Tribolium castaneum: one gene and its partner. The protein of the gene in region 2 purifies or fractionates together with the protein of the main gene of each other region. This does not show direct contact. Links are inferred from orthologs where the notes say so. Each region holds a gene or a part of one and is shown on either strand. Other genes may lie near its edges.

Region 1 (4,411 bases), on a different chromosome or scaffold from region 2:
CTTCCTTACTAGTACATTTTTGTTCTACCGGTTTTGCGCATTTACCTTTACACGACCAACAGTGTAACTTGTCCGTTTTACCGGAGGATAAAGCGCAAATTGCCGAAATAATTAAAATTATTTTAAGTGTGACAGATGTCATTTTTTCACTTTTTTTCAGAGAATTTAATGTTATCAGCGATTTTTTTCAACCATTCGTTTAACTGTAATAACATAAAGTTGTATTTTTTTAAATAGGAATCATAGTTGGCTATGACATTTTCGAAAAGATTATTTTTTTCTGATTTGATATGTCTATTTGTGTAATACGTTAATTTTAAATATTTAAGAAATACGAAACATTTCGTTTTTTCTTTATAGTAGGCCATGAAAAAATTTTGGATTTTTAATTAAAGCTATGAAAATTGTATTACCCACCAAGTATTTATAGTTTAACGAATTTTTAAACCTAATTAATTCAAAAACAGCATAATAAATTTTTATTAGATTAAATTTTTGCAATTAATAAAAATTATTTGTTTTTATATTTAAAATGGCAAGCTTATGTTGTCATTTTATTTTCCAATTTTAAACATGAAATGTCGGAAGAAGAAAAATCTTATTAATTGTATGATTGCGTATCAATAAAATTTTATTTTACAAAAAAATGTCAATCCAAACACCAAAATCAAATTCCATCTGCGGTAAAAATTTATACAACATTATCAACGTCACCTCCATTGAACTTTACTAAATCATAAAAAAGTGGCATCAAATAGTAGTGACACATCGTTTGCAATTTTCTGCACATTTTTTATGTAATTAAAATCTGCGACGCTCGTATATTTGTTCAATTGAAAATAACTTTAACATAGCTTATTTTTATAATTTCACATTTTTTACTTTAATAACCGCTCACAAAATTTCTAGATTATTCACACCTTTTATGTGAAATAATTTTTCCATGGCCAACTACTTTCAAATATTTTAAATATATTTTCTAGCAAAAATATATAAAAATATCAAACTATATTTATATTGTTTTGAGTTCAGAAAAAAGTAAGCTTTTCAAAAATGTCATAGCCAACTATGATTCTCATTTAAAAAAATACAACTTTATGTTATTACAGGTAACGAATGATTAAAAAAATCGCTGATAACATTATTAAATTCTCTGTAAAAAAGTGCCTTTAAGGTCTTTGTTTCAAATGTGTATCTTTTATAATAAGGAAGATATGAATTTTTTAATATTTCACTGAAGTGTCAATTTTTGTTTATAAGTCGAAAACAAAAGACGATAGCGAAGTGCGGTTTTGACCAAAATTATTCTCTCAAAAAACGGACCCGAAAATGTGCCATTTGTTTTTCTCTAAACTTCTTAATTTCGGAGACCCCGGAGACTTTTTGTCGATTTAGAATCTGGGTAATTTTGAGGAATTTATTTAAGTTTCACCAGAAACTTACTTATTTCAAAAAGTTTCTTCGAAACAACCGATGAAGAAGAAAATAAAATAAAAATTGTTGTAAAAGGATTAAAAATCCCGCGCTGCGTTTAGTAATTTTGGTATTTTCTGGCGTCCCTGCTTGTCACCGGCGCCATTTTCCGCAATCACGTTTTTTCAATCGCGCGTTGTGTAACTAATAGCCCCCATAAATGGCTCAAAGCAAGTTGAACGACCTGGCCGGCAAGTTCGGCAAAGGGGGCCCGCCCGGCCTGGGGCTCGGACTCAAACTTCTGGCCGTTGGTGGCGCCGCAGCTTACGGTATCTCGCAAGCCATGTACACCGGTAAGCCCTTTCAAATTTTTTGCGGTTTTTACGCCCGTGTCTAGTCGAAGGGGGCCACCGGGCCATCATGTTCAACCGCATTGGGGGCGTCCAGAAGGACATTTACACTGAGGGGCTGCATTTCCGCGTGCCGTGGTTCCAGTACCCCATCATTTACGACATTCGGTATTTGGACGAATGAGTGTAGCGGGGTTTGTAAGGGGGCTGTTTTAGGTCAAGGCCGCGTAAGATCTCCTCGCCAACGGGGTCGAAAGACTTGCAGATGGTGAATATTTCGCTGAGGGTGCTCTCAAGGCCGAATGCCAGCCAACTGCCGATTGTTTATAGACAGTTGGGGCTGGATTATGATGAGAAGGTTTTGCCTTCGATTTGCAACGAGGTGCTGAAGTCGGTTGTTGCGAAGTTTAACGCAGCTCAGTTGATTACACAAAGACAGCAAGTTTCGCTTTTGGTTAGGAGGGAATTGACTGAAAGGGCGCGCGATTTTAATATAATTCTGGACGATGTTTCCATTACTGAGCTTTCCTTCGGGAAGGAATACACGGCTGCGGTTGAAGCCAAACAGGTGGCGCAACAGGAAGCCCAAAGGGCTGCGTTTATTGTCGAGAAAGCCAAGCAGGAAAGGCAGCAAAAGATTGTCCAAGCGGAGGGCGAAGCCGAAGCCGCAAAAATGATATCCTTTTTATTTTTTGATTTTTTTAGTTTTATTTGTTTATTTCTCCTTAATTTTTGAGTAATTTTGGAAAATTGCTGGTAAGACGCTTCTGACTAACTTAGCTAAAATTACGGAAAACTATAGATTAGGAGACGAAACGAGACATAAAATCGTACCACAGAAGTAACACGTCAGAGGGCACTTCGATCGTTATAATTAATTTAAATTCAACCAATTTATTAATTGTGGGGAAAAGATACAAAAATGTTGTTTACTGAATTGAGAAAAATTGACTAAATTACACAGTTATGTAATGAATTTTTAAAGTATATTATTCCAAATACTACGGAGAAATGCTTCTCTCTAATTAGTTTTTAGAATGTTATAAGAGTACTAAAAAATAATTTAGAAAATTTGAATTTTGAAAAAGATCAAAATAAAATCTACAAGAAAATTTGGAGAATGAAGAAATGTTGATAATAGTTAATTATTATTACACAAGACGATGACATTGCTTACCTACGAGTAAAAAGGTTGAGTTCAAGAGAGACGAAGTCACGAGTGAACTTATTTCGCGAATAGATATTACGTGTATAATACAACATTTTTTCTACAGCTGGACTTCAAGTTTACGAAAAAATAATTATTAGTCTCTTAACCCATCAAATGAGTATGTTATTGGAATTTGTAAATTTAATTGAATAAAATAAATCTAAAACATTCTATATATCTTCGCGGTTAAAGTGCTATTTTATCTACTCAAAAGAGTTGATAAAGAAATAGTTTAACATCTGCTATAGATAAGAATATTTGTTTGTTGGCAATATTTTAAGCCTTCTTTTTAATATCTGAATCCTAGATTATAATCACAATTTTAAAACACGTTTCCCGTTGGGAAGAAAGTTGTAGCCAATTAAAATTTCGTTAAAAAAGTCCACGAGATCTTCAACCGTTTAGGTCCCAAAGATGTTTCAAGCGTTCTTTAAAATTTGTTGCTCAGCGCCCTCTGGCGACACCAACGTAACTAGCGAGAACGGGACGTTTTATTAGTTCGTTTCGTAACCTAAGCTATAGTGAACCGTAGCTAAAACTAGAGTAGTCATAGCCGACGAGCCAGACGTAGAGTGTCGTTCGTGTAGTTAGTTTGTGTTTAAAATTTTTTCTTAACTTGAGTTTACTTAGGTGAAGCAATTTCCAAAAATCCGGGCTATTTGAAATTGAGGAAAATCCGCGCGGCTCAGAATATTTCACGAACCGTGAGTTTTGTTTACTTGATTTCTTCTTTAATTGGAAAAATATTTTTCTAGATTGCCAACTCGCAAAATAAAGTGTACCTCAGTGGTAACAGTCTAATGTTGAATATCTCTGATAAGGAGTTTGATGACCAGTCTGATAAGCTCAAACGTAAGGATTGAGTCTAGGTTTAAGTTCGTAGTGAGTGAGTGAAAAACTTTTATAAGAATATTTCTTTGTTACTATTTGTAAAAATATTCCTAAGTCTCAAATAAATGCGTAAGTTGTTACGAAGTCTTGTTTGATTTTGTTTACCCCTTTTGTAGGTAATGAATATGATGACACGACGCGAAGTGCTGATAAAAATGTGCTCAGGACAGCACGGAAAATGGCAACAAGGATTGCTGGATAAGGGCGGAATTTTCACGCATGTAGATTTTATATTTTGGTTATTGTTGCTTAATAAACGTTTTTAACACCTTTATTAAAACTGCATTTCTCTTCTTTTGTTTGTTCCTATCCTTAATGTTTATAAAAAAAATCACCAATATTTGGTGATTTTTATGCGCAAGGGTTACCAGCATTCAAGCACAGTCTTCGAACCGGTTTTATTCTGACATCAAGCTACACAACAATGGCAGTGTTTAAATAAAGCTAGGCCAAGCTACGCATTGTTCGTTCAATCAAACATTTAAACCTGTGCACAATAAACTACATCGTTGCATAATTCTAATAGAAAAATTCAAATTTGGCGCCA
Region 2 (3,824 bases):
TGTAAAACGATATTTTTGTTACCTTATTTCTGGCAATAATAAAATATAAATGAATGTGATTCCTACTTAAAATTTGTGCTACGCACTCATTTAACTAATACATGACTCAAAGATAACGAACAACTTTTCTTTACTTGTATGTGTAACAGAGTTTTAATTTTAAAACGTTAAAAAAAGGGGAAATTACAAAAATAGTATTAAAAAATTATTTTTAAATGAGCTTGAAGCACTCATTCTTTAAAATAACTTGTAACTACGGTACTCGTTACTGAAACTTGAATCCGTGCTTCAAGAATGGTATAATGAAACTTGTTTTGTAATATACTATTGTTTCACTTTTTTAATTAAAGCAAGGAAGTAAACGTCGAATTTTTAGAAAACTTTAATCATTTATTGAATTTTTATTACGGGACGTAGTTTTTCTAGGTGTTGTGGTTGCGCCTTTAATTGCATTTATTACGTTGTTATCATTATTATTATTATCAGGGACGTGGTTGCAAATTTGAAATGCCAAAGCGACTCCGACAGTAGCGGGATTGAGGGCAACGTCCCCGACATTGAAGGGGGCTCTGAATCGGATTGTTCCGGCGCAACCGAAGGCCCCGAAGAATACGGGAGCCAATCAGAGGACAGTATAATGGACGATGACAGTTTTTTAACCAACCATCAACTCCAAAAATTGCACAAACTTCCAAAATCGCTCAACTTGGGCCGAAGTGGTCTAGAAGAGTGCAATACCGACGTGGAACGTCACAACGCCCGCCATTTCGTCAAAACCTTACAAAACATACTTCTCCCAAACCTTTTATCACTAAGATCGTCCATTCAAGTCGACGAAGTTTTGCAAGAATTCGCCTCCAAGTGTTGCCAACACAACTCGGCCCAAAGCTACGAAATTTCAACGATTATGAACGCCGATGGTGTTTATTTAGCCACGTATTCGGCCCTTTTGCTCGACTTGAAGCTGATACAAGGGGGCAACCATGATGGGGGCAACAACGTCCCCATCACGGAGGCCCAGTTTGTGGAGGAGATTCATGGCAGTGGGGTTTTGGTCTACGTTTCGGCGACTTGGTTATGCGAACTTTACCAAAATGTTTTGGCCAAATCGTTGCTTCTGACGGCTGGGTATGACCCCAAAGCGCCCCAACAGCCAGCTTTGGTCAATTTATTGACAGATGTTGGTGGTTTATGTCCGTCACAGTTACTTTCCGATTGGCAGAAGTTGCAAAAAGTCCATGGAAGCCCGGAGAGTAGTCCTGAAGTTGAGGCAGGAGTTAAGCTCTCACGGAGGGTTTTGACGTGTTGTTGGGCTTCCGTGGTTTCGGTTTTAGGGGCGCCATTGGGCGAGAAAAGCACTTTTTCGGGGACTTCGGCTCTGAGTCGGTTGGTGGCGAGAAGGGCGCGGCAGAAGCATCGGCAAAGGATAAGGGATGATATCATTACGGCGTGTCTTGAGGGCCTCCATAAGGTATTTATTTATAAAATCGGGGGGAAAACCGCAGTACCTGATTTTTTGGTTCTATTTTTTTGATTTCCGCGATTTTTTTTTGAGTTTTTTTTTTGAAAAAATGTTCAAAAATGTCATTGTAAAAATATGGATATACTGTGTTAGACAAAAGTATGGAACCAAGCGTTTTGTGGCTAAACTATGTTCCTTACAAAAAAAATAAATAGTACATCATCAACTCCTTCAAAAATGTGAACATTTTTCAAGAATAAATTTTTTCGAAATTCTTTTTTGTTATTCAAAAAAATTTTTTTTAATGTAACTTTACCACGGCGATTATTTTGTTAAAAGTTTATGCTCTAAAAATTACTTCTAATTCAATAATTTTGTTTTTGTGTTTTTTTTATAGATTATTAAAGCCGCATTCCGAGCTTATTACGACGGTTTTCTGAATACCACCACTTCGACCAAGTTCGAAAAACCTTCGTAACGGGCTCGGAATGCAACTTTAATAATTTATTTTCAGAGAACCACTGGTTTAAATACAATATTATTGAATTAGAAGTAATTTCTAGAGCATGGTCTTTAACCAAAAAAATCGCCGATGTGGGGTGCCATTTAAAAAAAAATTAATAACTCGAAGACTTAAGGAATTTCGAAAAAAATTATTTCTGAAAAATGATTACATTTTTAGAGTACTTGATGATGTACTAATTGTTTTTTTCGTAAGGCACATAGTTTAGGCACAAAACGCTTGGTTCTATATTTTTGCCCAACGCTGTACTTTTTTTTGTAACAAAATATTTAAACTTGTTTGCTTGCATTTTAAATTTTTAGCCAAAGGGTTGAAAAAACATAACGTCTACCAGTTTGAAGAGAAGTTCATATTACTTTTGTTTTCAAAATGATTTCCTTGATTTATGTATTCACTGCAGATTTCTTCTAATTTGAATTAGAATTTTCTAAAGATATTCAGAAGAAATATTTAAATTCATCTATAGATTTGTTTTTATTTATCTATTTTTAGACATTTTGTTTTTTTTTTGATTTTTTTGGTTTTAACAAATTATTTTTGATTTTGTTGGATTTTCTCAAGATTTTTTCTTAATGTTTTCAAGATCACACTAACATTTCAAAATAATTTTGATGACTTCAAAATTATTTGCAGATTTCTTTTCATTAGAGCTAGAAGTTTTCAGAAAAAATATCTTTTATTGATTTTTCTTGTTTTATTTTTTGGTTTTCTTCATGTTTTTCTCTCGATTTCTACAATACAGTTGCACTAAATATTCAAAATGTTACCTACATACATATTTCTTTTAATTAAAGTTACAGATGTCTTGAGGAAGTCAGAACTAGACTAGTATATAAGACTAGTCTTTATCTATCATAAAGGTTTATCTGTAAAAATTTCTTTTGATTTCCTTTGGTTTTGTTTTGCCTTGTTTCACTCTTTGTATTTCTTAATGATTTTCTTTTGCTTTTCACAAAAATTGCACCTATTGTTCAAAAAGATTTTCGTGAATTCACTCCAGATTTCGCTTAGTGTTAGAGATTTTCAGAAGAAATATTTATGTATATCTTTCTAGACATTTATACTTATCTCAACTACACAATAGGGGTATTGTTAAAAACACGTTGCATTCTAAAATTTAATTTTAAAATTTAATAAATTTTTTTCTCTGACTTTCTTAAAAGTTACACTAACTTTTTTCCAAATGATTCCTAATGTGATTTAAAATATTTACTTCAAATTTCTCATAAATAAAGCTAGAGAAACCTTAAATCTATCTATAAATTTATCTTTACTTTAAAGACTTATCTAAAAAAAATTTTTTTAATTTCGTCTACTTTTAACTTATTTTTTTTGACTTGTTTTAATTTTTTTTATTTGTTCCTGATTTTCTCAGGAGCTCCATTAATTGTTTAAATAAAAGTAATTTTATTTTCCAACAGACAAAAATGTTTATATTGGATAATTACAAAATATAATTTTAACACAAACAGAATAATTTTAAATAACAATATAAAATACATAGATAATACAAAAATAAGTAACAAGAAAAGATGAATATTTAACATTAAATTTATTGGCAAAGCTGAGACAATAACTGTTGCTTGACCGACGGATTAGTAAATTAGCAAAAAATATATCGAATTTGTTACAATACATATACAATTATACAGACGCATACAGTATGTTATGGGACAATTAAAATGATTTTCGTTGTTTAAATTATCACTGCTGATTTTTTTTAATTAGAGTTGACAAAGATTTTTAGAGGTATATCTGGTTATAGATTAATTATTTATTCATCAGTCAAGATTTATCTATAAAGCTTTATTTCGATTTCTTTTGGTTTTTGCAGATTTT

What was found.
Region 1: the proteins of brefeldin A-inhibited guanine nucleotide-exchange protein 3 (region 2) and Phb2 purify together in Homo sapiens (affinity purification with western blotting; 4 studies listed by BioGRID). This does not show direct contact. The link is inferred for Tribolium castaneum from reciprocal best matches to the Homo sapiens genes ARFGEF3 and PHB2.

What each region holds. Positions count from the first base shown.
Region 1 is NC_087401.1:13,157,950-13,162,360, reverse strand, and holds Phb2 (prohibitin-2), read left to right. Parts: upstream 1-1,540; 5' UTR 1,541-1,633; coding exon 1,634-1,766; intron 1,767-1,810; coding exon 1,811-1,931; intron 1,932-1,979; coding exon 1,980-2,439; intron 2,440-3,599; coding exon 3,600-3,677; intron 3,678-3,728; coding exon 3,729-3,825; coding exon of another isoform or gene 3,826-3,836; exon of another isoform or gene 3,837-3,933; intron 3,934-3,980; coding exon 3,981-4,066; 3' UTR 4,067-4,144; downstream 4,145-4,411.
Region 2 is NC_087399.1:9,107,412-9,111,235, reverse strand, and holds part of brefeldin A-inhibited guanine nucleotide-exchange protein 3, read left to right. Parts: intron 1-486; coding exon 487-1,471; intron 1,472-3,824. UniProt on the Homo sapiens protein: Participates in the regulation of systemic glucose homeostasis, where it negatively regulates insulin granule biogenesis in pancreatic islet beta cells. Also regulates glucagon granule production in pancreatic alpha cells.